Oryctolagus cuniculus: one gene and its partner. The protein of the gene in region 1 interacts with the protein of each later gene in a biochemical or structural test. Links are inferred from orthologs where the notes say so. Each region holds a gene or a part of one and is shown on either strand. Other genes may lie near its edges.

Region 1 (3,557 bases):
CGTGGAAACCAGGTAAGCCAACCACCAGGGACGCAGAGGAGAGCCATGGGCTCAAGACCCTCAGAGAGTGACGGGCTGTCTGTTGGGACCAGGGGAGCTGGCACAGGTGGCCTGGGCCTGGCTGTCGAAGGGCCCTCTGAGGCCAAGATGTCCTGCATGGACAACAAGGACGGCAGCTGCTCAGTGGAGTACATCCCCTATGAGGCCGGCACCTACAGCCTTAATGTCACCTATGGTGGCCACCAAGTGCCAGGTGAGAAGGCAGTGGTCAAGATGGCGGGGACTGCCCGATTTCCCCACGCTGTCTTACGCAGCTGCTGTCCCTTTGCCCAACCCCCAGGAAGTCCCTTCAAGGTCCCTGTGCATGACGTGACAGATGCATCCAAGGTGAAGTGCTCTGGGCCTGGCCTGAGCCCAGGCATGGTCCGTGCCAACCTTCCTCAGTCCTTCCAGGTGGACACAAGCAAGGCTGGGGTGGCGCCACTGCAGGTCAAAGTGCAGGGGCCCAAAGGTGAGTGCTCACCTACCCGGCAGCCAGGGACTCAGCAGGGGGAAGGAACATGGAGGCCCAGCATATGCAGAGTGGAGTCAGGTGTGTGGGCAGGTGGAGTGGGAGACCCTCGGGTTGACAGAGGAGAGCTGGTGGGGAGAGCAGGAGGAGGCAGGACAGATGGGGTAGGAGGGAGGGACAGCAAGGGTCCAAAGTGGCAACCAGAGTGGTGTCTCATGCCACAGGGGTTTGGGGCCGTCCTTGTGGATGGGCAGCGACAAGAGGAGGTCTAGGCCTGGTGCCCTGACCGGGTCAGTGTGGTGGGGGTGGGGGTAGGGGCCCAGGGGGCTGGCTGAGGTTGTGTCCCTTGGACTGGGGTCAGGCCTGGTGGAGCCAGTGGATGTGGTGGACAACGCCGATGGCACCCAGACTGTCAACTACGTGCCCAGCCGAGAAGGGCCCTACAGCATCTCAGTGCTGTATGGGGAAGAGGAGGTGCCCCGGAGGTGAGTCAGGGCCCACCACCCATGGGGAGGGGTCCAGGCTGGATGTCCAGAGCCTGTCTGACCTCTCGCAACACCCTGGCTCCACAGCCCCTTCAAGGTCAAGGTGCTGCCTACACATGATGCCAGCAAGGTGAAGGCCAGTGGCCCTGGACTCAACACCACTGGTGTACCCGCCAGCCTACCTGTGGAGTTCACCATTGATGCAAAGGATGCTGGGGAGGGCCTGCTGGCTGTCCAGATCACGGTGAGCTCACTGGCCTCACAAGCTGGACTGTAGCATGGTGCAGGCAGAGGAGAGGCCAGGCTGGGTCTCCCTAGGGAGTCATCCCAGGGAAGGCAGGGCCGGCCAGCTTCTGCTTTGCCACCATCATGACTACCTGAGGCTGATGCTGGCGGGCACAGGCCTCGTGGAGCACACACCCTCTGCTAACACTGAGGACCTTCCCAAGGCCTCTGGTGCTGCACTTCCCCTCCTGTGCCATTCTCACTGGGAAGATACGAGGAGATCTCCCAGCTGAGCTCCCCTGAGTGCTGGGGCAGACCCTGGTCTCAGGGTGGGAGCCCACAGGGGTCGTGGCAGGGGATTTGGGTAAGGGAGCATGGGCCCAGGGGCCCTGGCCCTGTCTGTCGGCACATGGAGCAGTGTTGAATACTTCTGCAGTTCCATCTAGACTGCCCATGGGGAAGTAAGGATGATGCTGGGTGCAAACAGCCTTTTGGGGCCATAGCTGCTGAGAGGCCTGGAGGCTGTCCCTGTAGCAGTGGTACTTGGCATCCATTCAGGAGGGTGGCTTACCTGGGCCCGGGCCAACACTTCCACGTGCTCTGCCGTGCAGGACCCTGAAGGCAAGCCCAAGAAGACACACATCCAAGACAACCACGATGGAACGTACACAGTGGCCTATGTGCCAGATGTGACGGGCCGCTACACCATCCTCATCAAGTATGGTGGTGATGAGATCCCCTTCTCCCCATACCGTGTCCGGGCCGTGCCCACCGGGGATGCCAGCAAGTGCACGGTCACAGGTGAGCCAGCCCGCCAGCGGCCGCTGTGGCGCTCGGCACGGGGCTTGGGTGTGCCTGTGTGCAAGGGCTCGCTGCTTGGGGCGGCGTGTGGGAGTGGGGGCCGCCCCCTTGAGTGACTCACCTGACCTTTCTCCTTGCTCTCTGCCCTCTCACCTCAGTGTCAATCGGAGGTCACGGGCTAGGTAAGCTGCTTGCTGGGGCCACTCCCAACGCCCCTCCTGCCCAGAGGGCAGCTTCCTTTCCTCTTCCGGTGCTGATTCCCAGGAGAGTTCCAGCTGCAGCTCCAAGCAGGGACAGAGTGGGTGGGGGGGCTGTGCAAGACAAGGCCATGGGCTGGAGGGTTAGGGCCCAGGGAGGCTTCCGGAGCTAAGCATGAACACTCCGGCCCTTCCCCTCTCTGGGCCTCCGTTTCCCCACTGGAGAACTCGGGTTGCAGCTGAGAGCTTTGGGGTGAGGTGCATCCTGAGAGGCACCCCACTTGGGGACTTTGGGGTCTGGGGATCTTGGCACTCTGGGCAAGTACCCAGGGATAGGCAGTGGGCCCTTCCTTCTCACAAGGGCTCCTGCTTGGATTAAGGGGACAAGGGGAGTCCCTAGCTCCGGCCAGATCCGCAGACTCCCATCCCTACCTCCCAGGGGCCTGAGTCCCGGGCCGGGGGAGGTGCATGAGCGGGTGGGGCTGGCTGGTAGTGCAGTAGCACCAGCGTCGACTGCTTGGGTGGCCAGCATGGCGGGGCCCAGCCCAGCCTAGAGCCCCAAAGTGCACTGTGTTGCCCGTCTCCCTCCTTCCCTTCCTCTCCTGTCCCCCTAGCAGTGACGTTATTCAGGCCATCCCCTGGCAGGCACAGAAGTTTGCCTGCCCCAGCCAGGGGCACCTCTAAGAGGGGAGAATGACTTGAGGGCCTCTAGAGGCTGTAGGCCGGCCACTCAGGCAGGGTGGCCAGGGAGCAGGTTAGAGGGAGGCTAGGGTTTTGGAGCGGGGCTAGACAGCCTTGTAGAGTAGACTTTGGGATCGGGGGAGACCTGGTGCATGTGCAGGACTCAGACTAGGGGGTAGGGGAGAGGTTTGCATTAGCCTTAGTTTACGTGGCCCATGTGTGCAGTGTGGAGGCAGGGAGCCCAGCTCAGGGGCTGAAGTCACTTTTGGGTAAGCTGGACGGGTGGCTTGGGCCAGGCCAGTGGCCATGGGATTTCAGGTGGGAGCCCAGCCAGGACAGGGTACTTGGAGAATAGAGTAGCTAAGACCTGCTGATGGGCTGGGAAAGGTGGGAATCGGGGGTAGTTGTGAGGCTGGAGCCCTAGCCATGAGCTGGGTGGTGTGGGGTGCAGGTGAGTGAGGCCTCCCAGGGCAGCAGATAGCCAGCTGTAGAGCCCAGGAGACCCACCTGGGCTGTGGTCAGTCAGCATAGTGCCTAAGCAGGGGGAAGAACCCTTGGCCAGTAGGGGGACTTGGTGGCAGACTGGCCAGGGGTGCCCCCTGAACTTGACCCTCAAGCAAGTTTGGTGCTCCTGGCTGCTTCCTTGGCAGGAGGCCA
Region 2 (4,023 bases), on another chromosome or scaffold:
TATTGTGTGATTTGTGATCTGCCTACATGCCCTAAGTGCCTAGGTTCTAGTCTCAGCTCTGTTTCTGATTCCAGCTTTCTACTAATGAGCATTATTTTTTGGGGGGGCAGCAGGTGACAACTCATGTAGCTGGGTCCCTGCCACCCACATGAGAGGCCCAGATAGAGTTCCTGACTCCTGGCTTCTGCCTGCTATAGCCCTGGCTGCTGCAGCATTTGAGGATGGAAGATCATTATCTGTTTCTGTCTCAATGTCTTTCAGTAAATGAAACAGATAAAAAAAATGTAAAAAATGATCTGGTATGGATGGTGTCAGTCTGTGGCCAACCCCAGGAAAATCTGGTCTTGTGTCGTCTGTCTGAACGTCTCACCCTTTCACTCTCACAGATGCAGGCATCCATTCTGAGTCGCAGGTGTTCTTTTTTTTTTTTTTTTAAACAATTTATTTATTTATTTGAATAGCAGAGTTACAGAGAGGCAGAAGGGGGGGGAGAGAAAGACACACACACACACACACACACATATACATATATCTTCCATCTGCTGGTTCACTCCCCACATGGCTGCAACAGCTGGAGCTGGGCAGATCCGAAGCCAGGAGCCAGGAGCTTCCTCCAGGTCTCCCATGCGGGTGCAGGGGCCTAAGGACTTGGGCCATCTTCTACTGCTTCCCCAGGCCATAGCAGAGAGCTGGATTGGAAGTGGAGCAGTGGCCACATGGGATGCCGGCACTGCAGGTGGGGGCTTTACCTGCTACATCACAGTGCTGCCCCGAGTCTCAGGAGTTCTCAACCATCAGAAGGCAGAGGGCTCTCACCCCAGCAGGTCTCCCACAATCACGTGATAAAAGACAACCCGTGGGACCCAAGTGTTTGAGGAAAGGCAAGTGCATCTGACTAAGGCAGCATGGTGCCTTTCACTGAGGTAAGCCTTCTTCTAATGGCAGAGACCGAGATCACACAGACCCTTGTGGGCGAGCAACTGAGAGCGGCAGGTGACCAAAGGCTCTTCTGGAGAGCAGGTACTAGCAGGGTCGGGAACTGCAGTAAGGGTCAGGAGGAGGGTCTACCACCGGGCAGACGAGAACACTGCCCGGGAGCTGGGGTGGCGAAGCCCGCACGGGTGCTGAGTTCAAGACCTGCGACGTGGCTCGCACGCCTCCTCAGCAGCACGGGCGGCCCTGCCCTCCCCCTGGTGTTTGTGTGAGCCGCTTCTCTACAGAACACTCCGCTTCCCCCTTCTCGCTGCCCTCCCACGCCGCTCCAGCCTGGGCCCACAGGAGCCCTGCACCGTAACTTATCCAGCGTTATCCAGAATTCCAGCACCCGCTCTGTGTGCCGGCAGAGCTGCACCCCAGGGAAGGAACCCTGCGGCCTGGCGGCGCGAACCGAGCGCAGGTGAATCCCGCGGGGGCCCTCGCGCGCGGGGAGTTCACCGCCCCCTTCAGGGTCACGGGGTCATTAACGCCGGTCCCCAGCGGTCGCCGTGCGCGGGACCACGGAGCTCGTGGGTCAGAGAGCCCCAGGGACCCTGTGCAACCCCCAACGCCCCGGGCGGGCTCCTCTTACACCGGATCAGAGCGGCGGCCGAGACACCGGCGCGCGGGACCCGCAGGCGCGGGAGACGGGGCTGAGGCACCGCGGCCCCCGGCCGGCCGCCCCGCGCGCGCCCGGCCCCGCGCGGCCCCGCCCGGCCGAGCCCTTTGTCCGGGCGCCTCCCGAGGCGCGGCCGTCAGGAATGCGCTTCCGGAGCGAGGGGCGCGCGCCCGGCCCGCGGGGCGGGGCCGCGGAGGGGCTTCCGGCCGGGAGGCGGCGCGGGGCGGCCGAGACCCCGCCCGGTGGCCCGGAGGAGGTGGAGGAGGAGGAGGAGGAGCCGCCGCCCGCCGCGCCCGGAGCCGGGAGAGGCCGCGCCGAGCCGCGGGGACGCCGAGCAGCAGGCCCAGCCTAAGGCGCAGGCCCGGACGCCGCCTGGGGAAGGTGAGGCCTGCGGCGCGCGGCGCAGCGCGCCCGGCGGCGCCCGGCCCGTCCTCGCGGCCCTTCCCGGCCGGCGTCCCCTCTGCCTGGGAGGCCGGCGTGGCTGCCGCGCGGGGCCGGCCGTTTCCGGCAGCGCTGGGTCAGCGCCCGCGTCCGGGGAGAGCTAGGCCTCCCAGGGGTCCTCGCTCAGGGCCCGGCCGGCCGCTGTGCTGGTCACCGGGCGCTTGTCCTGCGGCAGCAGCGCCGAGCCGGGCCACAGCGCCCGAGAGCGGGCAGCAGCTGGACTCGGGGTCCAGCGCCTTCGGCCCCGGGCGTCTGGGAGGAGTCCCGGTTCTCTGCCCCTGGGGGCGGGGAGCCGGGAGGAGTTGGGGGGCCAGGACCCGTCGCCCTCGGGAGTCGGGAGAAGTCGGGGGGCCGAGCCCTTTGCTGTCGGACCCCGGGAGCGGGGTGGACCCCTGGGAGCCTGGAGGAGTCGCCGGGGCCAGGGCCCGCCACGCTGTGCCCGCAGGAACCGGGAGGAGTGGCCGGGATCCCCGGGAGCGGGAGGAGCCGCCGCGGCGCCGGGGTGCGGGGCGGAGGCCGCGGGCGTGAGGACCCCGGTCTGGGCACTGGGCGAGGGCCGGGCCGCTCCGCCGCGGGCGTGAGGACCCCGGTCTGGGCACTGGGCGAGGGCCGGGCCGCTCCGCCGCGGGCGTGAGGACCCCCGTCTGGGCGTGAGGACCCCGGTCTGGGCGTGAGGACCCCCGGTCTGGGCGCTCGGCGAGGGCCGGGCCGCTCCACCGCGGGCGTGAGGACCCCGGTCTGGGCGCTGGGCGAGGGCCGGGCCGCTCCGCCGCGGGCGTGAGGACCCCCGTCTGGGCGCTCGGCGAGGGCCGAGCCGCTCCGCCGCGGGCGTGAGGACCCCCGTCTGGCCGCTCCGCCGCGGGCGTGAGAACCCCGGTCTGGGCTTGAGGACCCCGGTCTGGGCGCTGGGCGAGGGCCGGGCCGCTCCGCCGCGCGCCGGTGCTCGTGCCGCCCGGGAGCGCGCGCGGTTCGCCCGGTGCTGGCTCTTGATCTCGAGTCGCGACCCCCGCTCCGCGCTGCTGGTTCCTCTGAAGTGGAACAAAGGCGCCCGCGCCAATACGATAACGGATTCTGGTTATCTCGCCCGGTTCTGCGACAGGGCGGGGAGCCGTGGGTCCTGTTTTCACCTCCCGTTTTACGGAGGCGAAGACCCCAGGGTCCACGGACCTCCGTCCTGAGCCCGTGGCCGCCGGGACGCTGACGTGAGCACTTGCCGGCTGCTCAGCCCTCCTGGGCGGTCAAGTCTGACATCCCAGTGTGGTTGGCTACGTAGATGTCTCTGGGTCAGCAGTCCGCATAGATATTTAGGTGCATAGAATCGTAGGTTGTCGGTTATTTTTTTGTTGTTTGGTGGTTTTTATAATGCTCATATTTTTAAGTAATTTTGCTTCATTACTCAATACTAAATGCATGATTTGGGATGGTAAGTAATAAATAGGAAAGAAATGAAGCATTGATGTTTTGGTATACACATTTGGGATGAAAGCTATTTTACTTCGCCAAAAATTGAGTATAAAAGGGGAAGATGTTATTAAAATGCTAGTTTAAAAGATAGGGAATGTGGTTAATACCTTACTGTGTAGACAGAGCAAATAAACTCCTAGCCTAATTTGGCTTCACAGATCGACAATTTTAAGTGTTTGTGATGTGGACTTTCTTTTGTTTAAGAATGTAAAGTTGTATTTTAAGGTTATTTTTTAATCTCAAAGACTAACTGCTTTGTATATATGCTACCAAAACGAGCAACAAAGTATAACCACGTGGAAAAGTCCTTAGCTTGAGTAATTTTAACACTCGGGCCTTCTAGTAGTGTAGTTTGAGTCCACCACAGGTCACCATCATTGAATGGAAATGCCTACTTGGTGTTGAATTCCTAACTGCAGGAGTTGCACGCACTGGGGACCTTTTATCTTCATGAAAAGCAGTCCGTTTAATGTCCTGCAAGTTTTCACAAGAATCCCTGCCACTTGTGATTGACTTGTTGTTTG

Evidence for each region. The genes of interacting proteins can lie anywhere in the genome.
Region 2: the proteins of FLNA (region 1) and ITGB1 form a complex in vitro, tested with the Homo sapiens proteins (3 studies listed by BioGRID and IntAct). The link is inferred for Oryctolagus cuniculus from reciprocal best matches to the Homo sapiens genes FLNA and ITGB1.

The regions. Positions count from the first base shown.
Region 1 is NC_091453.1:132,585,001-132,588,557, reverse strand, and holds part of FLNA (filamin-A), read left to right. Parts: coding exon 1-12; intron 13-92; coding exon 93-253; intron 254-340; coding exon 341-511; intron 512-872; coding exon 873-996; intron 997-1,083; coding exon 1,084-1,240; intron 1,241-1,832; coding exon 1,833-2,022; intron 2,023-2,180; coding exon 2,181-2,204; intron 2,205-3,557. UniProt on the Homo sapiens protein: Promotes orthogonal branching of actin filaments and links actin filaments to membrane glycoproteins. Anchors various transmembrane proteins to the actin cytoskeleton and serves as a scaffold for a wide range of cytoplasmic signaling proteins.
Region 2 is NC_091444.1:108,893,696-108,897,718, forward strand, and holds the start of ITGB1 (integrin beta-1), read left to right. Parts: upstream 1-1,187; 5' UTR 1,188-1,396; intron 1,397-1,813; exon of another isoform or gene 1,814-1,975; intron 1,976-4,023.